Drosophila melanogaster: one gene and its partners. The protein of the gene in region 2 interacts with the protein of the main gene of each other region in a pairwise test. Each region holds a gene or a part of one and is shown on either strand. Other genes may lie near its edges. The genes, in order: mid, CG15262, hbn and CG32548.

Region 1 (7,705 bases), 9.8 Mb from region 2:
TGTTCAAATATCGAATAAAAATTCCAATTAAAAAAACGTTGCTAGTTTTGGTTCACATATTTTTATTTATTTTTGATTGGTTTTTGTATGTTTGTGTTTTTTTTTCTTCATATTTTTCGTTTAATAATTTTTGTTTAAATATTTTTCGTGTTTTCACTTTTTTTAGCGTTCACATTGAATACATATTATGGTTTTACTCTCCTTTAATTTATGCTAAATAAATCTTTACGTTTTCGCCGGATAAATATAACTAACTGAAGCGTCTATGAATTTACTGTTAATACTATGAATATATCATTATATATAATAGCATTACTAACGATTTATGCTTACACTACATAGCTATATATAGTTTACAATCGTGCAGCGTTTTATTTATGTATATGTATATTTTTTTGTTTTGCTTAGTTTTTGAGTGAATTTCGTTCTAACTTTACACTGAGATGAGTTTTCGAACAACATTTAAACATTTGTACAATAAGTTAAACTAGATTACAAAAATTGTCTAGGGGAAAGTGAGAAGAACTGTACAGCTTATACATAATTTAAGATTTTTACAACAAATAGAGAAAAGTTTTTCTTTGCCTTCATATAAACAACAAATAATTTACAACATTCAAAAAGATGGCTAACCTTTTTTGTGTAGTTTTCACTGGGCTTAAAGGTCGTCTAAATTGAAAAATAAAGCTAAAGTTTAAGCAATTTCATTGACTGAAAAGAAACTCAGCAGTAATATTTGCCAGAAACGATCTTTTTTATAAGAAATCATATCGGAAAGCAAAATATTGTATTAAAAACTTTTTGACGATTTTTTTTTTACGTTTTTTTTTAAAGTATTTTCTTAGTATTCCAGGAACTTTTTTGCATTTAAGAGACGACCTTTAACCCCAGTGCTTTCACTTTTTAATACTGCTCGTGGCAAGAACTTGGTGGCGTGGGCTGTTAACTTAGTGGGCGGGGCTGCGTGAGGCGTTTACCGCGGGTGGCGAACCGGCGGCAGAGGAGGGTGGCCCCTGACCGCCTGGCAGTTGGTACGGACTGAACCGCTGATACTGGCGCGGTCGCATATCGGGCGACGGCGATCCCGACGACGTCGACGAGGGCGTGGATGCAGTGGGCGGGGGTGGGGGCGTCCGGTTGGCGGCCATCGCTGCGGCTGCCGCCTGCGCCTGCGCTTGGGCCTGAGCGGCGGCTTGAGCGGCGGCAGCTTGCTGATTGGCGCTGGCCAAAAAGCCGGCGGTAAGTTGGGGCCACTGCTGCTGGAACATGTGGAAGGCGCCCAGGCCGGGGGGTGGCGGAGGTGGTCCGGCTGCCGCTGCTGCCGCTTGGTACATTTGCGGCATCATCAGCTGGGCATAGGGGGAGTTGCCGCCAAACATTTGCAGATGCTGGCGTGCCTTCTCGAACAGCGCCATCGAGGAGGGATCACCCTGAGCGGCAAACTGTTGCATCAGCGGATCGGGAAAGAGGCGCAGTGGCGAGCGGAGCTGCTGCTCCAGGAGCAGCGCCTCCATCGGATCGCGATCGAAGTCGGTGAGGCGGGAGGAGTCGCGGAAGCCCTTGGCGAACGGATTCGAATCGATCTTCAGCTTGGTGATCAGCTGATTCTGATAGGCCGTCACCGCGGTGAATACGGTTTCCGGGAATACGTAGGTCTTGTGATCCAAGTCCTGCAATTCCTTGGGATTCGACGGAATGCTCTGTCCATGGCTCAAACGCACCAAATGAATTCTGGGCTGGTAGCGATGCATCGAGTTCAAAACGATCTGGAAGGGAATAGAAAAGAGGGAAAAGGTTTCATTGTAGTAAGTCGATTGAAATTTACATAGCTGGGAATTAGGAAAGTGCTTAAATGATTGAAAGTTATCTTTAATATTCTTTAAAACTTTTCATAAATTAGATAGAAGTATATTGTCCTAAAATTCACTTCTTGAATTGAACACGAACATTTTCCATTTTCACAGCAAAGCAACATTAATCAACGATGGTCTCTAGACTCGCAACTTGGCGAATATTTCTTCGTGTTGCAAAATTATCAATTATTTAGCACTCGCGGCTAATCGCTACCTCAGCATCTGAATGTCTCAGCAGCCGAGTATCTGCGCATCTGAGTATCTCAGTACCACAGCGTCTCGGTATCTCAAGTCAACTCACCTGTCCGTTCTTATCCATTTCGTTATTAGTCAGCTTCACCTTCTCGAAGGAGATAACTTGTTTGCGGAGCGCCTCGCAGCTGAAGGGACTGTCAGGATGGGCGTAGAGGCGTGCTGGGGGGGCGGGGTCGGCCTTGCCGGCCACCAGCCATGCGGAGCGATGGTAGGCGTACCGATACCGCTTCGAGTCCATGGGGATGATGTCCATGAGGACGGCGTAGCGATCGGCGGGCTGGATTTGCCTCAGCGGACCCGAGAAACTGACGCGCACAGTGGGGAACATGCGTCTGGAAGAGGTAACAAAGTTAAATTAATTCGATTAGATTTTTGCTTTCATTGAATGCTCCCTTTTTTTGGGGATTGCTATTGCCACACAGCTAGTTAAGTCGACTATTTATGGCCCAGACACTGGGGCTTCAAGCTGATTTTTTCCCATATTTTCCTTTTCGATTCTCCCTGCTTTGACAAGTGCAGACAATGAAGACAAAAGCGAAACTCTTCCTTCATTTTTTGAGTCACAAACCTGTGTATCCCTCTTGTCTACATCCTGTGGTTTAATGTCCCTCCAAAACCCGGTGACATAACCTCCGGCCAAAAAGGCCAAAGGCGGGCATCGGGGACCGCCCTGATGTCTGCGACTCCGAGGTGTGATTTTTACAATATCATTAAGGTGTATATATATCTATCTATATGTGTGACCTGTGTGCGTGTGGTCAGGTGTGTGGGAGCAAAGGTGTGGACAACCCGTGGTCATTTGGATTGAACTTGTTCCCATTCTCCCGCTGACAACAGCAACGCCCATAGCTCTGATTTTCTCATTTTCTTCCTGCGCAGGTACACAAATGTTTCCTTTTTTTTTGCACAGTTTCCCTTTTGGAGGAAATAGACCCCACACATTCACTCAAATGGCATGAAATTTTTGTTGACACTGCAAAAACCATTTGGCGAGCCAATTTATGGGCAACTGACTTAGGGTGAACATCTTTGATGATTGAACACGCAGACACTTGATTGTTCAATAAAGAAGTTTTGCGGAAAAGTGATGAATGCAAAATATTTTGTGAAAAGAGTATATGTTTGGGTAATGCCATTTGGCAGCAACTTTTACCTCCCAAAATCTCCCACGTTGCTCCACCATTTAAAACTAATGCCTGTTTGCACTAAACTCGACTGACTGACTGATGGTTGGATGGATGGCTGGATGGATGGATGGCTTGTTGCTGGTTTGGATGCTTACCTGCCCGTTTTGGTGATGATCATCTCGGTGCCGAGATCGTGAAAGCGATCCCACAGCTCTTTGGTCTCCAGATGGCACTGCACCGGCTTCAGATCGTCGCAATTGCAGGAGCCGACAATTTTGGGTGCCTTCTGCACCGGTTCCGGTGTTAAACGCTCCTCGCTGTCCTCCGTTCCCGGGGATTGGGGCGGTGTGGAGCAGCGTCCTTGGCTGCTGGTCGAGCTGGTGTTCAGTTGGGATTCGGCGGAAGCTGTTTGTGCCACGGCGCCACCGCTGTTGCGACTCTTGTGTGCCACATTGTTGTTGTTGTTGTTATTGTTGTTATTGTGGTGGTGCTGGTGATGCTGGTGGTGCTGATGATGGTTCAAACGACGCGCCTTAGTCGGTGGCTCCTCGGCATCGCTGCAGTCGACCACATCAACGTCAACCTCATCCTCCACCGAAATGGGACCTTAAATGACACGAGAGGAAAAAGCGAAAATTGAAAATTAAATCTGAATTACACCGTTCGTTTTGGAGGTAATGCAAATTAAAATGCAATGCACATGGGAAAAAGCGTTAAGTAAAATCTCTAAATTGAAGCCTTCAATATATTTGGCACTAAACACTTTAAAGATCACAATGTTTCCTGAATTTTTCATCACTTTTTCCTTCATAACTTGTGCGTCTTATTAACGATTTTTCCGTTGTGCATTTGGCCAAAAACCGAGGCCGTGCTTCCGTTGACAACATTGAGTGGTGGAGCTGATTTCGCGGCAGACAGCGTGGAGTCGTCTCATATTCTTGGAGTTTCCGCTTCGCTTCGCGTTTCAATTGCAATGAGACAGTGCGACGACGACCGCTGGCTTAATTGTCAAACTGAACACAAATCGGCAATTAAACAGCCCGAAACTCTAGCTGCGATTGCTCTTTTCCATTGCATAAACAAAAGCGGAGGGCTTTCGTTCAAGGTGTGTGCGCAAAAGTTGATGAATAATATTTTTGGGCTTATCCATGGGCGAACTCTCACATACGCTTTCCATTTTCCATAAGCCGAAAATGGTAACAAAATGATGGGGAGAACTAAGCAGCCCGGTTTTTTTGCAGGTGAGCCCAGACGGTAGGTGTTAAAATGCAAAGTAAGCAAACGGAAAACGGAAAGCGACCACAGAAAACAAAAAAAACAAAACAAAATATGAAATTAAAAAAGCTGCATATTTGATAAAGAGATCGTAAAATACGAACACCTCGTAGCGTTTTTGTTTTGATTTCGGCCGTCGCTAATTTTCTGCGCCTCGTAAAATTAATAAAATGAAGCACATTGTTGAAAATTAATTAACATAATTAGCAGCCTTTGTTAAATATGAATTCCGCGCGATTAGATGCTGTGCACAATTTGCATATTATCATAATATCGGCCACAAAAGAGCGCTGCAAGTGTTTGCTAACAAATATCTGGATTCGCGATCTTTGGCTCGACTTAATTGCGAATGCCGTCGGCCAGAGAGAACTAGTTTTTTCTTTTTTAACGTGGCCGGAACGCCTGCTAATTGTCATTAGCAATTAAATGGAACTCTGCGCACCCAAAGCGACAACAGTAATTTAATAGATTTGTTGTGCAATCAATTAGCGATTGTCTTGTGGCTAATAATGTTTGCATTCGCTGGTCAAGTTTGCGGTTCTCTTCTTGGGCGTTGAGTTGTTAATCACGTTTAATTTGAATTAATCGTATAAAAATTCCATTTTTGTTTTAGCAATTTCTAGTTATTGTGTGCTGGTATGTTAAGTAAGTTTTTGTACAGAAAGCACTGCTAGGAGATAAGTGAATATCTAAAGTTACAACTACCTACTATGATTAAAGATTGTTGAATTAGGGAACTTATAGCTTGTCAAATGAAGTTCTAAACAAAAGTACCCTATGGTATTTGAGACTACAGAAATGAAAGTATCTTAAAGATATTCTACATCTCATCAATGAATCTTGCTGTAAGTCTGTTAAGCCTAAAAAAATCTTGTTTAAAAATCACTATATAATCGAAATGCTTAATATTCAAGGCATTAAATTTCTAATGCATAAAAATATATTTTTAAGAACAAATTGTTCCTATCAACCGATTAATGATTCTGCCGCTTCCCACAGAATTCCTTTCTTATTAAGGATATTTTCAATATGTATCTGAACTTACTTGCACTGCGAATGGAGGACTCCCGACTGGAGGCATCTTCGCGAGCCATGATGGCGGCGATGGAAAAGTCCGTCGCTGAGCCGGCGGCACTTTTGCTAGCCGTTGTTGTTGTCTGTCCACTGGCATTTGGTGCTGCAGGGGCGGCGGGCACCCCGTTGCACAAATACGGATGAGATCCAACCAGCATTTTGAAGGGTATGATGTTGTTCTTAATGGGGCTTTAACTAGGGAATACCTTGGAAAGGTATTGGGGTATTGTATCTGGTCACTTTTCAACACTTGGCACTTATAAAGCTAGATGCATCTTTAGCTTTGGTAACTCGAGGGGTATGTGTATGTTTCAAGGTGTAAGTATCTTGTATCTTTATATCTCTCTTGCTTTCTTTTGCTTATCTTTGGCGCACGCGAACTGAGAATCTCGCGGACTGAGTGTGTGCGCAACGGAAGGCAGGCGACGACGAACTGAATTGTGTCAGGAAAATGTTGCCGCTGAGAAGCCAAAAACGACGGCAGGCGCAAAACTCGGGAAACCAGTTATTCCTCTTATGGTCCCTATGTGTGCAAGCGAGACCACCCTACAGCGAGCCGCGCCAGTACGAGTGCAAGCGGGATAGCCCTATAGCCGCACACTCTGAGTGAAAACGCCACTCGCTCTCTCGTTTTCCAATTGGAAAATCGGCGGGGGAGTGAACGTGCGACAGAGAGAAAGGCGGCGCTGTCAGCAACTTGCGCCCCTCTCTTTTCTTCGCCTCACCTCTCTCTCTGACGAACGCGTCATAACTCATTTACAATTAAAAATGTCGGCGCTTTTGGCCTTCTCCCTCGCACCTCTCTATTTCTCCATAGCGAGGTCTCTTTCTTTTTATTTTTGCCTCTCTTTCTCGCCCATTTATGAAGTGCCAACGTTTTGCTTGCGGTTTTTCTTGGTCTTTTTTTTTAAACAACTTTTCGCCGTTGTCGTCGCATTCCATTTCCTGTTATCTCCTCTTCTGACGTTTTCTTCCATCTTCCGTCTGTTCCATTTCGTTTCCAACACGTTCCGTGTCTCACTCAATTCTGTTTTGAGTGAGTTTTATGTCTCTGTTTTTTTTCTGCAGTTGCATCCCGTTGTTTTTCCTTTCTTATTTATCTGCAAGGACATGGACCTTGAGTCAAGGTTATTGCAATGGGACGTTGGGAATTTATTAGTTTGAGCTCGAGAAATTTTTCTGTGCTCTAAAAACATGAATAAAGAGTGCGAAAATAACTACAAGTTTATTTAAAATGTATATGCAATTTGAATTTATTTCGGTAAAGGGAAGAACATATTTTAAACAATTCGCTTAGTACATATTATAGAAGTCCATTTGAAAACATAGTATATCTATAAGCATTAGTCAAGACATTTTTATTTGTAAAGCTATATTTTTTTATATTCAAGAGGATATGATCATGAAATTTAGATTATGGCGATTCAAAAAGTTAACAGGGATATTTTTCCGTTAGTAATTATATACAATTCCACACGCTGTATGATAGAAGCTAGTCCTCTGGAAAATTCCCCCATAATATTTACAGATGTCAACAAATTGTTATGTTTCCCAGGCAAAAGTCAAGACCTTTGTCAGTGCCAATTAACCCGCTAAAAAATGCAAAGAAAATGCGGCTGCGACAAGGAAACTCGAAACAACTGACAGTTCGTCACATTCATTACGTATTGCTCGGATTGCCAATTGCCATGACGGAAATCCTGCGATCCTGAAAAACGGAACGCGGAGATCCAAACTAACTAACAAGCTGACTAATCCCGCTTATCCTGTGCGAGGAACAAACCGTCTTGTTGTGTGATTTTTGTAATTTGAGACATTTTTTAAGTCGGGTAGCGACAAAGTGGGCATGTCACTTTGACACTTTCGCCCTGGGAGAAATGGTGAAAGTGGACGGGGAGGGATGCGTCGTGTGTGTTCTGGTTACAATTGCAGTTAAGTTGATAGCTATAAAATGTTTTATCAGCATTAACAAATTCAAAAGCAAAACGGACGATAGCATTATAGATTGGGATAACTTTAAATACAATTTTATGACACAAGAACGCTGGTTCTAAAAAGTAGAGTGCATACTTTGATTCTAGAAAAAGGTTTACACTTCCTTTCATAAAAAGAGCCTATGTT
Region 2 (3,694 bases):
GCTTTACATATGTAAGCTTACAAGTTCATTTGTAATTCAAGTTCAAGCACCCAAAAAATACTCTCTATATATGCAGTAAGTATTTTTGAATAATGTTTTAGTTTTCAGTGTGCTATCACCTCGAAATGAGTAAATGTCTGGGTAATCTAGGAAACTTAGCTTGCGGAATGGTCACGTGATACGTCAGGTGCGGGAGAAACCTATTCTGAAATACAAAAATGAGTATTTTGCAATCAAATGAAAGCCAAAATCCAATTTAGGATCGCCTCCAGTTGACACCTCCGTGGCCTAGAGACTCCACTTGCCTCGACTGTGGCCCTGGCCATGGCGATTTAATGGCTTCGCAATTGGCCTGACCCATCTGTGGACCAGGCCAAGTGCCAGGTGATCGTGGCCAGTATGACTGCGAATCGTGGAGCGGAGCAGGCGGCTTTTGTCGCTGTCCCCGGCAACATGAGTATGATTTATTGTACTTTATGTGGCCGGAGCAGCTTCTGCCCGCAGTTCGTGATGGCTTCGCTGGCTTCGTTAGTCGCGTTCCTGGGATCTGGATGCATTGCTATATACTCTGTACATGGGTATTTGGAAAGTGTTCTGTGCCAGGAGTACTGTATTTTTGGTTGTGCTTAGCATATTAAGTGGTAACTTATACATGATGACCTAAGGAATATGCAGCATGAAGCAGCAAATCACACGATCTATTTATATAAAATAAGGACTATAAGCTCACATGATATTGCAAGGGTATTACAAAGTACGGTTCTAAAACTTAAACGTATTTTGCTTTTTTGATCTGAAAATTCTGCACTTGGCCGTGCGGCGATTATGTGTATCATTTTTCTTTGCCAGCGGCTGGGATTCTACGTTATTGTATTTTATATTATTTGTGCTTAATTTGGGGAGCACAGGTAAGGAGCAGTGGGAGCCGTGCACCTGATCCCAAGAGTGTTGTGACTCTTGAGGCCGCTGGACAAGTTCGTTGATTCGCGGCAGGCAAATGACCATGTGCTCCTCAACATTTTGTGGGCAGGAGCACTTGGACTATTAGCCAAGATATTTTCCCTCCCCTTTCCTTTTTTTTTTCGTTTTTTTCCTTTTGTCAATTCCCAGGGACTTTTGCTTGGCCAAGGAACGAGATTTATGTTAGTATGGTGTCAGTTTAAGTTAATGGGTTATACTCCCCGCCAGTTTTTTATTTAATATTTTATAGGCGAACGTTTTTTGTGCGTCTCATTCTTATTTTTATGCACAATTTTATTCTTTTTCCTTTGGCTGCTGCGCAGGTGAATTTTTTTTGAATTTATGACCATACCTTTTAAATTGCTTTGTGGCAATTTCCGTGGCACCCACACAATGCGAGAAGTTAATTTATTAGTAAACTCAATGTTTCAGGTTTGTTATGATTTTTGTTTTTTAGCTGAAAAACGACTTAAGTATATATGTATAATCTATATAATCTATCTATATAATCTATATTTTTCCCTGCTTAACGAGTTGCTATTAAAAATCTGACACATTAACTTTTAGTAATTTTCGCGTATGAATATGTATCACAAACACATTCGACTACAAGCTTTATATCGAATATTTTATCGGAAATCAGTGTTAATCAGGACTCTCTCAAATGTCATTTTGGCAAGCTATAGTATTGCAAACCAAAGCGATCTCTGCCACACGTGTTTTTTCCTCGCAACGCTTATAAATTACGAGATAAGCTCTGAGTCTTATAGAAATCCAGAGTAAGATATGAAACGTCATTATTACAATACTGGGGATGACCAGCAGGAGGTGGAGAGCTCTCCAAGTCCGCCGCCTCCTCCGCCTTTCCAATCGCCATTATCATCGCCCGAGTCTTTGCAGACCCCGGATGGATATCCCATTTTGTACGTGGATGTGGTAAAGAATAAGCCCAAACAGGAGTTGCCGCCGTCCGCATCACCGTCCCAACCACTTGCGCCGGAGTTCAGCATCTTTCGCGAAGATTTTCCGGCTCTGCCAGGATCATTACCATCTGCATTACCAACCGCATTACCAACGACATCGAGCCCTGTGGTGCCCGACGACTGGACAGCCATGATGAGCAACAGCGAGCAGGTCGAACTCGCCAAATTTCGAAATACAGTTATCCGTAATTCCAGTGATCCGTGCGTTAACGCTAACGGCAACGAGGTGCTCCGTCAGCCAACCCATGCTCCCGAGAAGCGCCAGAATATGGAGTTGCTGCCCCATATGTACGGTTATCTCGGCAATCCGTTCCGTTTAAATTTGAGCATGATATTTACCAAGCAATTCCTGCTCGAAGGCGTCAGGCAGAGGGCTATAAATGCGGCCCACAAGAGGGCTGCCCTGGCAAAACCAGCAATCCAACCACCACCCGGATTCGAGAATTGCAAAATTTTTGCCCGCTTGATAACCAACAGTGATGGTATGCCACTGGGTGGAGTCACATTTGAGCTGGGCTCACCCACTAATGAAACGACTTCGAATGTGGAGGCGAAACCTTCGGGTTCCACCATTCAGGGAGCCTTTGGGATGTTGGGACTGGCCAAGAAACTGCGATCGATTAATCAGAACCCGCTTCTATTCGGAAATAATGTTGCCCACAATATAGGCGGAGCCGCGGACTCGATCTTTACCGGGCCAATTCAAGAAGCCCGTTTGACTCCTCAGGAGATGAGCTACAAATTGCCATTGAACTATCTCTTCAATGTAAATATGAGCCTACAGGAGCCCAAAATCGAGGAAATGCATGATGAGCTCCTATTTTTCTTCTTCTACACATATGCTGGCGACATGATGCAGATGCTCGCGGCTGCTGAACTGGCGGAACGTGGATGGCGCTATCACAAGTATGAACATTTCTGGGTCATTCGCCAGGCGGACAATCCCAACTACTTATATCACGGATTCCGGGAGTTCGGAGAGTACAATTACTTCAACATGTGGCAGTGGAAGATCCTGCCACGACACTTTTACCTGGATCCCGAGATCCTGGAGCGCACTCTATCCAAGGAAGAGCTGTATGTGACGTACGGATACCATCCCCAGATGTCGGGTATTTAGAAGAAAGTTCTTTTGTCATCAATAGCCAGGGATATACGGGTTTAAAAATTCTCTCTGACGCTGTAGCATCTTTTTTATAAAAACAAATTAAATTTTTTATAAATATTCATAAGCGTTTTATTAATAAATTCAGTGTGGGGAATGTATTTATTTATATTTAGTATATATAGTTGCCTGTTTTCTTAGTTCTATCAATTGGTGTTTTTTGCGAATTTGTAGTGTTCATATTTATTCACTATTTATTTATTATTGTATTAAAAGTTAACCAGCGGATGACCAACCCATGTTTTAGTCACCTTGCAACCACGGACCCACCGCCGAAAAAAATCCAAGCAACCACACCCTCCAAATGCCATCGCAAATCCACAATCCACACAAGACCACTGAGTACCCAGCACCACCACCACCTTCATAGCCAAGCCCCAAAGATACGAGGAAAATCGCAGCGCTCATTAGCAAAATGGAGCAGACGGACAGTTGCACATTTGGAGTCGCAGCTTTCCGCCCAGACACGATCTCTTGGCCAAGTGTCGCCGTCATTTAGCCCGCTAATTGCCACGTAAATTTGCAACCATTTTTGGCAGCTCATTAAATTTATTATTAAAACAAAAGCCGGAGCGAAGCCAAGTTA
Region 3 (7,891 bases), on a different chromosome or scaffold from region 2:
GAGGAAGGAGCCCTTTTTTCTTCTGTTTAGCAGTCCTAATGAGCCGGCGATTACGACTAAGTGCGCTGATGATGCTGCATAAATTTTGGTGGCCGGCGAGCACTATGCATTCCACATTAGATTAGAGATTCCGAGGCTGTATGATCTGGGCAGGAACGCAATCCTAAGTCTCGAGAGATGCCCTCTGCAGCTCTAAATTAAACGAACATGCAATCGGATTGCTGAATGAAATCTGCATAGGGAATGCGTCCTATGAAAATATGATTAAGCGCCTCGGCAGACTAAACCTAATCCTGCGTCCTGTTGAGTCCCCGTGTCCTGTGGCGTCATGCATCTGGCACATTAATGAGTCCGGTCAACGCTTTGTCCCGCTTACTTGTTCACAGTTTTCGCGGAAATTACGTGTGCACTTTTCCCGATTTTCCCGGCTGAAGGTGCCGCGATCCTTGGCTTTGTTTGGGTTCGGGGCACAAAGGAATTGTGTAAGTTTCGACAAATTAGAGACCATAAATCCCGGTCCCTGCTTTGTTATCATTGTAGCCGGCGTTTTAGCACACCATGTATCCTTCGGGCATTAGATGGTTTTTCTTTTTTCGGGAACCACTTTTGGCCATTTTTGGCATCCTTTTGTGTTATGCAACCTGTGGGTGGACCAGGGTTCTGGACTAAATCTTGGATAGAGAGCCCTGTCTAAACTGAAGCTCAACGCAAATCCCAGATCTAAGTGGGTGATTTAAACAAGGCTGAGCTATTTTCGGTTATTTAATCGTAGCAAAACCAGGGCCTACATATTTTTAGATCCTTTTTGGTTGGTGCTACTTAAAATATTACATTTTTATCATTAAAAGGAAACATGCAGAAAATATAAGATTGGTAGGAAATCTTCATAGTATTTAGATAAATATATGTATTAAATTTATTTATGTATTATTATTATTATGTATTTATGCACTGGCTATTAATTAAAATGATTTGAATACTCATTAGTGAAATCAGTTCCGCACTGTACCTGTTGCTTTTAACGAAATTCAATGCGGCCGAAATCCTTCGAGATGAGATCAGTTTAATCAATGAACTTAGGTTTCGATCCTGCCACAGTTCCTTGCTAAGTAAAGGGATTCATTGATCGTTTGGCTTGTTCAATGAAACCACGGGCTCATTCTCAAGATCACGGGGATCCTGGCCATAAATCTATCGCCGAAATGGAAGCGGAACTAATAAAAGAGGACCTGGCAAATGGCCGACTTGATTCAGGTACCAGTTTGGCAATCCCGTGAGTGGTTCAACCTGTTTTGTGATTTGTGGATGAGCCGGGAAACGGGAGGGAGAGGAAACTACTGTGAGAGAGAGTGAGATATATATAAAGGAAGAGGGGGAAGGGTGAAATAGTTTTTAACAAGCGAAATTTGTGAAATAAACACAATTAATGAGCAAACCATGTTAGTTACAACTACCGAAAGAGAGTGCATTAAATGGGTAGGAAAGAGAAAGGTGTCAAGGAAAAGTACCAGAGAGATTTGAAAAGAGAGACAGAGAGAGAGAGAGAGTGGAGGAGGCCAACACCCCTAAGCCAAAACCAAAAGCTACCTGCAACCCAAACTCACACACACCGAGCGAGCCAACCCAACACACAGATACACGGCACTGAGATACTGAGATACTGGGGGAAACTACCCCTACAGCAGGAGAGAGAGGGAGAGAGCGAGCGTGTGCGAACGAAAGAGACGGCTGGCATGGCAGGACATGGGCGAAAGCGAAGGATTGGGAACTGTGATTCCGATTCGGATTCGAGAGCGAGCGAGCGAGCCTCGCCCATTTCACTTGCTAGCGAAAAACAGGCAACGTATTTAAACCTACGGGCGGCAGGAATCGCACTCAGTCGGTGGTTGTTGATCGTCACGAGCACTACTCACTCGCAGTTATTCACTCGATTCGATTCAGCTCATTGCAGTTCGTCGCAGTGGCTGTTCCGTATTCCGTATCGAAATCGCATCGTTTAATCGACAAATTTACCCGATAATAGCAATTAATTAAGCTAATTTTCAAAGCGTGCTCAACAAATATTGTGACATTAAACAAAAGTTGCCAAAAACGAAAATCTGGAAAATCGCTAACAAAATAAGAAAAAACCAACTTGTAGCAAGTGAAGTAAACCAATAGAAATCCGTACGGATCGCGAGTTGCTCTTTTGGTGGAGCTATGATGACCACGACGACCTCGCAGCACCATCAGCACCATCCAATCATGCCGCCAGCCATGCGCCCCGCCCCCGTTCAGGAGAGTCCTGTCTCACGCCCCCGCGCCGTCTACAGCATCGATCAGATCCTGGGCAATCAGCACCAGATCAAGCGCAGTGGTGAGTTTTAGTTTAACAAATATAAACTGGGGATAACTTACTGGAATGTAAATGTAAGGGGATCCTTTTTACAAAAATTCATCGTTTGCCGTCGGCGATCTGCGTTAGAGTTTCTTAGTACATCACACAAAAAGCTTAAAAGGAAACATAATCAAGATACAATAATTGCATTTTCTTAGAGAATCTTAATAAATTGTTTAGCTTAGTTTGATTTAAAAAATCCAATATCAAAATTAATTTGTGAATAGCTATGGGCAGGCGTAAACGAATTAAAAATTCTAAATTTGAATGTATAATTTGAATTGATTACGACCTATTTAGTTAGTCTAGCTTGTTAATTACAGCTTTGAAATATTTCTCACACACATCTTAAACATAATGAAAACATCCTGAATGCGTTACAACTTACCACCAGCAGGGCAAAATATCACGTTAGACTTCATGCACAGCCAATGGGCTCCCCCCCCAAATTTGGTGCTCCAAAATCCGAACCGTCCTCCTACTCCACTGACCACATCAAATAGATCCTTTCGCAAAGGAGCCGGAGCAGTGGAGAGGCAGATTGACATTGCCATCCATATCATATGCAAATTGCTCGCAAGGGACATTTTATCATAGTTGGGAAAGGTGAATGAGGGCAGTTCAAAACTTTCCGACAAACACCGACCTCGAACTCCACCCAGAGAGCAAAAAGAAAACATATCATGACAATGGGAGTTGTTCGGCATGTCGGAACTCTTGTTGTGGGCGTGGCCAAGCTGCAGGAGGCAGTTCGCCCAAGGATCTACTTGAGAAGAAAAAAAAAAACACTGTATCAAAACATATCTGGCCGGATATATCGCATGGAGAGCGGGAACGGGCAATTGCGTCATTAGACCCGTAATTAGATTGAAGTCCTCGGGAGAGGTGGAGGCTGGAAATTGCCTGGGCTGGATTCAGTGGAATCACGGCACCCATTGGTCCAGGTTGCAATTTGGCGACAACGAGCGGCGTGCGCACCGCAGGACACTGCATCCTGTGAGCCTCGTAATTTGATGCTCGCTGGAAATTACCTTCTTGCCACATGGGTCTGCGTAAATGTTACGAAATACGATAAGGATACAACCAGGACACGGGCGTCCTGCTGAGCGGGGACGTGTCCTGGTGCCATTGTGAATCCGATTAATTTGAGGTTCATTAAAGTTTGATTACACGTTTTGCCTTGGCTCGAAAAGAAACCGTTTTGAGTACTCACCAAATCGTTTCGTGTGAAAGGATATTTATATGCTCGCTGCCGTGGTATTGGGGTTAAAACTTATTCCGGCTTTATATTTATTTGTTATTGATTGCCAAATCAATTTGCGTAGCTTTCGAGCACTTGAAGGATTTGAATTTTATTCGAGACTGAGACCGTACAAAAAAAAGGGGGTTAAAATTGAGGATATAACTACTTCAGCCACAATTGAATGAACTTCAATTTCTGCAGCTGCCGTTTGGCTTTCGATTTTAAAAGTCAAACGCGAAACTTTTTGTTTCCCCACACACTCGAGTTCAATTCGAAATTGTTTAACTTTATTTCCCTGCCACTTTTTGTTTTTTATCGCAGATACACCCAGCGAAGTGCTGATTACGCATCCCCACCACGGCCATCCGCATCACATCCATCATTTGCACAGCAGCAATAGCAACGGCAGCAATCACTTGTCGCATCAGCAGCAGCAGCAGCACTCGCAACAGCAACACCATTCGCAGCAGCAGCAGCAGCAGCAACAATTGCAGGTTCAGGCCAAACGAGAGGACTCCCCAACGAATACGGACGGCGGCCTGGACGTGGATAACGACGACGAGCTGTCCTCCAGTCTGAACAATGGCCATGATCTCAGCGATATGGAGAGGCCGCGTAAAGTTCGAAGGTGAGTGCAGCGACAATCCGCTTAGCAGATCAAATCGTATTTACCCATTGTCGGGCTATTAAAAAACATGCCAACAAAGAGGAGGGGGGCAAACTCTTATCCGACGTATCTAACGTGCCGCCCTTGCCGTTCCTTTCGATTTTTCACAGATCTCGCACAACATTTACAACATTTCAATTGCATCAGCTGGAGCGAGCCTTCGAGAAGACCCAGTATCCCGATGTTTTCACAAGGGAGGATCTGGCCATGCGATTGGATTTGAGCGAAGCACGCGTGCAGGTAATTGAAATTGGTTTTCGATTCGCACAATTATTTTCGAATTAAGTTGCAGTTCAACTCGCTCAAAATGTATCTGTATTTTCATCTAACGGCTATGGGCTTTAAATATTGCCATCGCAGTGTCCGCTAATAAGCGAATAAACCACTTTCAGAGTCTGGGAACTTGAATGGCTAGATAAGAACGGGCAAAACAATCGCCGAACCCAATTTGTAAATGGTCTTTGAAACACTTAAGCCCCACTTTGTATACAAACACGCTTAGTTCGTTAGTCGGAGGAGGGTTGAATACGGGTGAATACGCGTCCCTTTTTCTCTATAGAGGGTTGGCACCAAGGACATTAGATATTGTGATTTTCCAAATGATTAAATCGTCCGCGCTCACATGGTGTTGGTATTTTTATTAACTCTACTTTCGGGTAAACAATTAAAGTGGCTTTGGGTGCTGACTGGCGGCAGGACACGCGGCCAAATATACCCGACTACACATGTAATTAGGGTGTCCTTTCGCCCCGAATCGCATACGATTTGATTTCAGTTGTGAAACGCTTTCAAACACTTCACATCTGATTGAGCGATTCGCTCAATTTCGATGCTGTTTGTTGACAGGGAATAAAAAAGCAGGGAAAAGTATGGCCTGGCACAAAAAGTGAAAAAAAACAAGAAGTGAAGAGAATGTGAATGTGAAACAACTTGACCTAAGCACTCACATAGGGATTACCCGCTTCGAATACAAATTGTCCGTTTCACGGTCGTCATCCGCATGCTCACATCCTCACATCCGCATTCTCATCCTGCGCGTCCTTGCACTTATTCGTATCTGTTAGCAGATTAACTGTAATTGGTCATTGATTCGCATATGCAGAGCGTTTCGGGTACTTGAATAGTAACCGACTTAGAGCTGCCCGATTTTAATACATGTGTTATTTTTTTTGCTGAGCTGCTGATAGATACAAAAGTATCCAAAGCGTAATCCCCGCTTGTTTTGGGGTTGGTAAGTGAGCAATTATTTTCGGATTTGCATGCTCGTTGTGTGGGGCATTTGGTGAAAAAAAAAGGAGTAACCAGCGACTTATCTGCCGGGTTAAGTCAAATTTTTATTGTCGAGTTGGGGTATCGAAAAAAGCGAAAAAAATATTGAAAGCGAATTTGTATCAATCTGGAAATTGTTGAAACAAAGCGTTTTTGAACGCTTTATGCAGTCTTTTTAATTGGAATATATGCAAAGAACTTTCACATTTGAAAATCCAAAATAACGAATTCTTATACAATTTTTTAAAGTACACATTTTTTTTTTGAGTTTACAAACCGCCTCTTCCAGTTTTTGCGACAGTTTCTTCTCTCGTTTTGATCGCACATGTGTGATAAATGCTGAACGGATATCCGCAATTCAACTTTTACTGCCTGGCTGCTCTGGCACAGTGGTTTAAGTTGTTGCCATAATAATTGCTGCCAACTGACAATTAAAAAGCCCACAAAATCGCACACACACACAGCACTTATGCTGTGAAGGGGTTGGGGGTGGTGGGTGGCGTTTTCTCAGCAGAGACACACACAGGACACAGGACAATAATTGGCAGCAATTATAGCAAGGAAATCGTTGCTAATTTACTACTCGCTCAACTGCACACATTGTTGCAGATTGTGGGTGGCCGTAGAAGGGGGTTACATCTAAATACAGGGTGTCTATAATTGCAGAGCCTTCTCTATTGTCTCGAATTCATCAACGAGCGTTACAGACAGTTGTCAAGTGATTTCAATTTACAAACAATTAATTTTGCCATCAAAAACGAGAGCCTCGGCTCGGACTGAAAATTCGTCGCCCCCAAAAGGCGGAAATGTATGTGCAGCCAACGCCTATTTTGTGGATGGCCTAGGGGGCACATTTGCATAGGGGTGAATTTGGGTGGCTGCGAGTTTGGTCCACCCCAAACCCAAGCAAGTGTCGAAAAATGCATAAGACACCCTTTTGTCCGACGAGCGAGACGGGTAGCGACAGACAGAGAGCGTTGCAAATCAGAGCAGAACACTTCCGATTGGATGCCATTGTATTTGACCTAACCCTCCACGGCGTCCAAGTCCTTTGGCTCAGACACTCGAGGCTGGAGGCGGCAGAAGGAGCCATCCAAGGACCAAGTGCTTCCAACTTTGCGAGCACACAGATTGATAGATTGGGAAATTGTTCGGTTTTTGGTCAAAGTCAAAGCAATTACAAGTCGCTTGCCAAGGCGCTAGTTTTGTAGAACTAATCAAGTTTAGATCGAGGGATAGATACCCTTTAGAAAAGTATGCTGGTTTTTGAAAAGTATACAGGTTGTATACATAAGTCAGAAAAAGGCATATCCTCTCTTCGGTAAATGATATATCAGATAATTTTATGTTTTTTATTACCCCTTTAGCTTATAATAGCCTTAAATCCGAGGGCACCCAAAATTTGCATACCTACAACTCCATCTCTAAACTCCCTTCTTTTTCGTGCACTTGCAGGTGTGGTTCCAGAACCGTCGGGCTAAATGGCGCAAACGTGAGAAGTTTATGAATCAGGACAAGGCCGGTTACCTTCTGCCCGAACAAGGTGAGTTAACCACCCCCATCTCACGAATCCACCCCATCAAATCCCAGCCATCACCCACCCAACCAGCGATACGCATTTGATTTGTCCGCAAATTGCCAAATTACGTGTGCAACATAATTAGGAATTATGTCGCTTGTGTCGCTTGTCTCACCACCATAACCACCGCCACCACCCGCTCTCTCTGACTTTCGACTAACGAAATCGCCCTTTTGCCTTCCGCTTGCAGGTCTGCCGGAGTTTCCGCTGGGCATTCCCCTGCCGCCACATGGACTTCCGGGTCATCCGGGCTCGATGCAGTCGGAGTTCTGGCCCCCGCACTTTGCCCTCCACCAGCACTTTAATCCCGCTGCAGCCGCTGCCGCCGGCTTGCTGCCCCAGCACCTGATGGCGCCCCACTACAAGCTGCCCAACTTCCACACCCTGCTCTCCCAGTACATGGGCCTGAGCAATCTGAATGGGATCTTTGGCGCGGGAGCAGCTGCAGCAGCGGCGGCAGCATCGGCCGGCTATCCGCAGAATCTATCGCTGCACGCAGGACTCTCTGCGATGAGCCAAGTTAGCCCGCCGTGCAGCAACAGCAGTCCGCGCGAGAGTCCCAAGCTAGTGCCTCATCCCACACCGCCGCATGCCACGCCCCCAGCGGGCGGCAACGGAGGCGGCGGACTGCTAACGGGCGGACTGATCTCGACGGCCGCCCAATCGCCGAACAGCGCGGCAGGTGCCAGCAGCAACGCCTCCACACCCGTCTCCGTGGTCACCAAGGGCGAGGACTGAACGCTGTTCCGTGATATT
Region 4 (6,960 bases), on a different chromosome or scaffold from region 2:
ATGTCTAATAATACCCCAACAATCGAAGTCCGTCGCCGTTGCGACTGCGACTGGCTGCTCGGATAAATGGATCCGCCAGTGGGATGTACGATGGCATGGGACGGATTATATTAACTCTATAAACAGATTCAATGGCAGCAATTGTGTGCCAATGCGAAGGCGGTCCGTTCAAAGCAATATTAATGCATTTATTGCACGTGAGCTCGGCGGCGTGTTAAAGATGAGCGTTGCCGATTAGGAATGACCCATCATTAGCCATGATGAATCTGGTAAGTGGGGCCAGTTAACTGACCAGCTAGATTCCACGGAGCACGTGCCGATGGTTTATTAGTAATGAAATGCTGTTGGGTCATATAGGATGGATTTGGGCTAATTAAGCAACTAACTAGAGTACATAACTCGAGGCCAGAAGTGCACATTCAAACTCTTCTTCAGGCAAATCTAACCCTCGTAACTTCGTAAGCCATAATCACCATTTGATAAGCCTGAAATGCATCCACCCCTCTAAAAACCAACAATTATCATCACTTACAAAATTTATTCTTGCTTGCCCTAAACAATTCCTCTTATCAAATACCACGAAAATTTACGCAAAAAAAAAGGTGTGTGAAAAAAAAATGAAAATACTAGTTTTGGAAGTCCTTGGAATAACAGCTCATCATCATTAGAAGCTGTAGTTGAGATTGCCGCTTGAGAAGCTCACATGAGAGACGTCCGGCGATTGCTGGTAGGTGGGGGATCCCAGCACGGAGGACATGGGAACGGCCATCCCATAGCTCTGGCGGGTGGTGGGCGCCAACTGGCTGGTGGCGAACTGATGGGCCACCGACTGCTGCTGGTCACGGAGCACGTCCTGCTGCTGCTGCTGCATGAAGCCCATGTGCTGTTGCGTGGAGTAGAAGTCTCCACTTGCTCCCCCTCCCAGACTGTTGGAGCGCAAAGGCGCTGATCCGATCACTCCTCCCGGGATGACTCCAACTGGACCTCCTCTTACTGGACCTCCGGGCACAATGGATCCGGATGCAAGGCGCTCGGGCTGCAGGCCATTGTTGCTGAACTGCGGCCGACGGTAGGCGAAGCGGCCAGCTGCGTTCTGTGCTGCCACGCCCGCCGGAGCGCCTCCCACATCGGCGGGAGCAGCTATCTGGGGGGTTTGGGGTTGAATCTGATGAGCCGGTGATGTTAGGCCGCCGGATACATCGGGATAGTAGTGGTAGAGCTTCTGCAGCAGGTGCTGCTGCTGCTGCTCGAACTCGGCTCGTTGGCGCTGATAATCGAGGAAGGCGGCGTGCATCTGGTCCGCATAGCTGGGCATGTTGACCACGCCACCGCTAACGCCCACTCCTGGTCCGGATGCAGCTGCTACCTGCGGCGATGTGGCGGCCAGGAGTTGCTGCTGCTGCTGCGCCAGGAGCTGCTGTTGCTGCTGTTGCTGCTGTTGCTGCTGTTGCTGCTGTTGCTGCTGTTGCTGCTGTTGCTGCTGCTGGAGCAGCGAGTTGGGCGTGACCTTCAGCTTACCATCGGCCCGGAATCCTGGCTGCGAGTACACGGCAGGATACTGCTGTCCCGACGGCGAGAATCCACCAAATTGCGTGGGAGTTTGCTGCATAGGTTAGAGGAATAAACGGATGAGAATGGAAGCTAAACCAGGACAATTTTATCCTTATTCTGAACTGGCTTAAATGATATTTAGATGAGTGTCTAATGTGCGCAAGTAGTAGGCCGTTTTCGATGTGTAACTTTTGATTTCGTTTTGTAAAATATTCATACAATTGAGCTTATAACACGCTTTCCTTTACTCACGGATGAAAGGCCACGCCCGTGATTCTTGATAATTGAGTGCTGGGAACCCAGGCATCCCTTTCCCCACTGTCCCTCCGCGTCAGCCAATCGACTGGCGTTGCCCCCACGAACTTTGCTGGATCTCATGATTCCCTGTTGTTCCGTTTGTCGCGATGTAAACTTAAAAGTTTTGACGAGAGGTTGTGTAGCTCGAGTGTGGATAGCCAAAAATTGATTTTCAAATTCAGATTTTGATACAATTTGTTTACGAAGTCTGTAGCGGGAAAAATTGTAAAACGAACCGATCTGAACCGACTGAGCGAGCAAGTGATACTGACTGGATAGCTCAACCAGTCCGGTGACACCTGACAGCTGTCGTCGGGCCAATCCGAAAGCCTACTGTGATCTCTACTAGCCATCGGTGCCATGGTGTGGATTCAAATCGATATGTATCGAAGGGAATCACGCGATTCGATGGCTTAAAAAGCGCGGATGCAATGCCGCAACCTTACAGTTAGAAACGATGAATCGCCATCAGCTGGCACTTCTCCTGGTTGTCGCGGGTCTGGCCATGATTGCGGCCAGGCCAGGTCCACAGAATCCGCTAGAGTCGCTGGGCATGGGCGCCATGTCTCTGGCCGGAAATATAGCGGAGGCAGTTCAGAGTGGCGCCGCCATCTCCCGCGACGTCGACATTGACAATCCCCTGATGTCCGTGCACTCGAAAACGGCCGTTGGCTATGGAGATGCCATACGTCCCATTGCCACCGATTCATCCGAGGAGGATCGTCGTCGGAAGCGAAGGCGGCGGAGCCTGCATCGCCTCAAACGCGCTCCTTGCTTCTGGAAAATGAGCGCTGCCGCCACCACAGCGGCGTCCGCCGACGATGACGTGGAGGCCAGACGGAGACGAGCTCAAAAGCGGGCCGCCAACAATGCCTCCCGATCCCGAGTGAGTCCCAAGACCACTGGCAAAAAGAACAAGAAGTTGGTGCGACGACGACGGCAGGAGGAGAAGGGCATGGAAGTGACACAGAATATGGACGGAGCGGATCCCTTGGGCCTGGGCACCAGAATCAAGGCCATGTGGCTTTCGTTTGTGAACAACGTAGCGGATGTGGTGCAGCAGGTGCGCCAGAAGATCACCGAAACGGCCAACTCCACGGCGTAGAATCACCGAGCTCCCTGACGACCACCATCGAGTGTATTTTTTTTGTTTGTTTATAAGTGCAATAAAATCAACTGAAAACCGGAAACTGTGTTGAGCGGCATGTTTTCTGGGTTGGCCAAAAACATTACGATTACGTCTTCATTCAAATATGTACTATAGATTACATCCATTTTAAGACCCCATCATATTATCAATGTAGTAGCCAATTAAGGCCAATCACCTTTGGTAAAAGGTGACCCCAAACGGCATTAGAGTCAAAAAAAACGTGTACTCCGTCTTTAAACTACAAATGCTTGTGAGCTCAACTAAACATATCACCAAGGTGACCCAAAACTTGGAATCCGGTTACCATTTTAAAGTGGCATACCTTTAAGAACTCAACCTTATTTGTTGCTCTTTAAAAAGGTCACCGCCGAAGAGTCACCCCCAATCGATAAAGATTCCTCAGGCAGAGGCAATAAAGCAAAAAGCGAACTGTCATTTCTGAGCAATCCGATCGAAAGTGGTCCGAGGAGAAGGCCATTGGGGTCACCACAGCAACTCGACTACTGAAGGCTGTCCAGATGGGAGATACGGAAACGAGCCGAGTCACGATGAGCCAACGGTCAGTGGGCACTTCCGGGCCAGATGAGATGCATCTCGACATGCATTTCGAACATTTCCGTGTCTGGTCGAAATCTGATTGAATTAAAAAGGCTGGGTACAAAAGGCGCATTCAGGTGGCTGGGCACAACAGTTGGCCAAATGATTTCCGGACCCAGATTCTCTGCCCTACTAATCGTGGCCCTGACCCTCGCTCTGGTGGCCCAAACTTGGGCCGACGAGTTCGATCTGGACTACTCCAACGAGTACGACGATGTGCGACCGCATTTGGTCTATCCCGACGATCCAAGGCTGGACAAGCGGATCGGCGATGCGGCGCGGGAGTTTGGACAAAATATAACCCAAGCCTGGAACGCGATGGTGGACTCGTTTAAGAACTACTTTGAGGAACTCAAGAACCTTTTCTCCGACACCACGGATCTCGATTCACCCAATGAAGTATTTTCTAACCGCTGAAATGGGCGTTTTACTTTCGTTTCGAGCAAATAAAGCGTAGCAAAGAATTTAAAACATTCATTTGATTTGGGAAATATCATCCGTTGAAAGCCAACTTGATTGCTTTTGATTTAGGTACATTTCCAAGCGGGTATTTATAATTATTTTTTGAATACTACAAAATGACAATACTAAGTAATATGGTATACATCTGCGGATGATAACCAATTAGGCACTGAATGATTCGGCTTAAAATGCTTTTCCAACCAACAAAAATGAGATTTTTTCATCTCTGGTTTAATTAGATCTGTAAGCCACTAAGCTAATTGCCAATAACAACCTCGCATGCTAACTAAACCAGATGCTAGATGTTGCATCTAGATTATGTAAACATGAAAACATATCTGTTTTTCGCGTAATTAAGCAGAATAACTAGAAAGTGACAGGTTAAATAGCTGGCTTTCTTCTTGGCAATCAATTATTGGGAAGTGAAGCCATCACAGGATGACATCGCCTATTTTAATCCTGAGTCTAGGTCTGCTCCATTGGAGCATTTCGCCCGTCTGGTCACAGGTAAGATACTTCGTACTCGTATCGTATATCCTTGATACCCAAATTCCCTGCAGAATATGCCCACTGATGTGATGGACGCCGTCGATCAAATGCAGGAGATCTTCGAAAACAATATGCAGGGCCCACAAAGTTCGGAGTATGGTGACGGGACATTCAATGGAACGCCCTTTCTACCCGAACAAGCATCGAACATCCAAAACTTTGGCGGTTAATTTCAATTCGAATTCCAATTCATAGTACTACTCTAAAGCAACGCCATGTGGCTAAATATTAAATTAAATTGAAGAGTGTGTCCGCAACTTTTTCCCTCGTATAATTGTTATCCAGTGTTTTCTTAAGCAATTTTAAAATTCAAGTTTAACTTTATGTGCTTTTCCCAGAGTTTCAATAGTAGATTCACCCCTCACCATTGCCGTGATGTACTTACCAACTGCTCCTGCTCCTGCGGCTGCTGCAGCTGCGGCTGCTCCACCTGCTGGTTCTTGGCCGCTCCTCCGTAGTACCGGGTGAAGGTCTGCTGCACTCCGGGCGTCTTCAGGCTGTAGGAGTTCGAGTTGGCGTCCGTGTGGATGGAGACCTGTGCGCGGCACACCTCCTGCTGGCCGGCAAGCACCAAGGCCGCCACCGTCAAGGCCAATGCGAACATGATTTACGTGGTGAGGCTAATGGATGGTTGATGGCTGGATGGCTGGATGGCCTGGTATTGGAACTCGACTTCGTCTCCCGTTGATTTGGCAGTATGTCCGAGCAACCGTGCAATCGGACTATGGATCGTTATCAGCTAAGCGGACGCGACTCGCGAACGTCGATGGTTGACTGTGCAGCGCCCGCCGACTGTCCACCGATTTTATACCGCCTTCGATTGGGGAATGTCCACGCTTGGCTCTCTGCCTCTGCCACTTCAGTTTTTGGCCCCAAAAACAGCGTACATGCATACATATTTTGGCCATAAAGTTTGGCCCAAAAAATGTTGTACTCTTTACGTCTTAAATGTGTGAATAAAGTGAAGTAAATAATAGTTGAACCAAATTTGAAGATAATAATAGTCTCAATTTTCGGTTTATGAAGCACCTGAAAAATCATATTTTAATAACACTTATAGAATAATGACTTCAGTTTATCATTAGAGCGAAATATTTCACGAAGTTAACTTCTCAATAATAGGTTCAATCTAATCATCCATTAGATTATTTTTTAAAAGGTGTCATTTGATTTTCTCTGTGCAGTTGGAAAGTATTATAGCTTCTATTCGAAATCGTTGCCTGAAATCCAAGATATCTAATGTAATCCAATTGAACTGCTGTGCCTTCAAGTTTTTTTCTTTTTTTTTGACAAAGCTGCCCTACCCTGTCGCGTTTAATATAATTTTCCATAATTTCAATTTCGATATATATTTTATTTTAATTTTCACCCGCATTGTTTTGTTTCACATTTTGCGTGGATAACTTTCTTTAAACTTTGGTGTCTGCCTGCGGAATATGGAATAAGCAATAACAACGGCGGGGAGGAGTGTGCAGTGGAGGGTGTAGATGTAGATGGCAATTCCAATTCCAATTCAAATTGAATATGCTCTTTGGCACTTACATAACAATCCGCCCCCGCTGGGCGAACGGCAAACTAAACATAAACACCGGCATAAAACGTTGTTTATAGGAACGTGCCCGGAATGCGCGATATGTCCGAAAAGCGAAACTTGCAAATGCCGGCTACACGGTGCGAAAACGAGTGCGCCTTCAGACCCATCGTTCTCTAAACGCAGAGCATGATGAAGTGAGAAGACTAGTGGGCTTTTGTCGCTGTGTACGAATGGCTTTAGCCACCAAGATACGGAAGCGGGGTTAAGGCCAGAGTAAGAAGCGAAAAATCGGCTCAATTGGAATGCAGTTTTGATGGCCCAATGAGATTTGGCCCGTTGGCAGGGCAACGATTATTATGAAAGCAGCAAAGACCTGGTGGTGGTTAGTGCGTAATGGTCACTTAAGCGCGCGCTTACCTGCCACCGTTGCGTATACGTGATACGTGATCGTCATAAATTTATTTGCGCATTTCATTATGCGGCGTGTAATTGAAAGCGCATTTCACACGATTGAAAGTTGTCTGTCCCCGACTGTCTGCCTGTCTGTCTGTGTGTTTGTGTGCCTGCTGACCCGCATTACCCCAATAAAGTGACCCAAACCGAGTTCCTAACTTAATGTGCCCCGGGGTAATGGCCATAACTTCTCCTTTCACTCCGGCTGCATTCCTTGGGGCTTGGGTCCTATCTATCCATGTGGGGTCGTACTTTCCGTTTCCGTCCGGGCGTGTTTTCTCCATTAAAGTTGACTTTTCCGAATGAAATGCTTGTCGTTTTACGATTACCCCACCATAAGCCATCAAAATAAACAGCGCAAATTATG

The links.
Region 1: the proteins of CG15262 (region 2) and mid interact in a two-hybrid assay, tested with the Drosophila melanogaster proteins (one large-scale study listed by BioGRID).
Region 3: the proteins of CG15262 (region 2) and hbn interact in a two-hybrid assay, tested with the Drosophila melanogaster proteins (one large-scale study listed by BioGRID).
Region 4: the proteins of CG15262 (region 2) and CG32548 interact in a two-hybrid assay, tested with the Drosophila melanogaster proteins (one large-scale study listed by BioGRID).

What each region holds. Positions count from the first base shown.
Region 1 is NT_033779.5:5,459,955-5,467,659, reverse strand, and holds mid (midline), read right to left. Parts: upstream 6,022-7,705; 5' UTR 5,743-6,021; coding exon 5,556-5,742; intron 3,842-5,555; coding exon 3,391-3,841; intron 2,441-3,390; coding exon 2,155-2,440; intron 1,767-2,154; coding exon 948-1,766; 3' UTR 50-947; downstream 1-49.
Region 2 is NT_033779.5:15,296,201-15,299,894, forward strand, and holds CG15262 (uncharacterized protein), read left to right. Parts: upstream 1-1,607; 5' UTR 1,608-1,746; coding exon 1,747-3,063; 3' UTR 3,064-3,167; downstream 3,168-3,694.
Region 3 is NT_033778.4:20,954,896-20,962,786, reverse strand, and holds the start of hbn (homeobrain), read left to right. Parts: upstream 1-1,877; 5' UTR 1,878-2,199; coding exon 2,200-2,356; intron 2,357-3,941; coding exon 3,942-4,248; intron 4,249-4,397; coding exon 4,398-4,527; intron 4,528-7,011; coding exon 7,012-7,099; intron 7,100-7,325; coding exon 7,326-7,873; 3' UTR 7,874-7,891.
Region 4 is NC_004354.4:18,435,199-18,442,158, forward strand, and holds CG32548 (uncharacterized protein), read right to left. Parts: upstream 5,384-6,960; 5' UTR 5,211-5,383; coding exon 4,992-5,210; intron 4,879-4,991; exon of another isoform or gene 4,777-4,878; coding exon of another isoform or gene 4,618-4,776; intron 4,565-4,617; coding exon of another isoform or gene 4,496-4,564; exon of another isoform or gene 4,469-4,495; intron 4,063-4,468; exon of another isoform or gene 4,013-4,062; coding exon of another isoform or gene 3,698-4,012; exon of another isoform or gene 3,670-3,697; intron 3,036-3,669; exon of another isoform or gene 2,954-3,035; coding exon of another isoform or gene 2,306-2,953; exon of another isoform or gene 2,292-2,305; intron 2,103-2,291; exon of another isoform or gene 1,930-2,102; coding exon of another isoform or gene 1,804-1,929; intron 1,604-1,803; coding exon 665-1,603; 3' UTR 521-664; downstream 1-520. Other genes in the region: CG6290 (uncharacterized protein), read left to right, coding at 2,306-2,953; CG32551 (uncharacterized protein), read left to right, coding at 3,698-4,012; CG43841 (uncharacterized protein), read left to right, coding at 4,496-4,564, 4,618-4,776.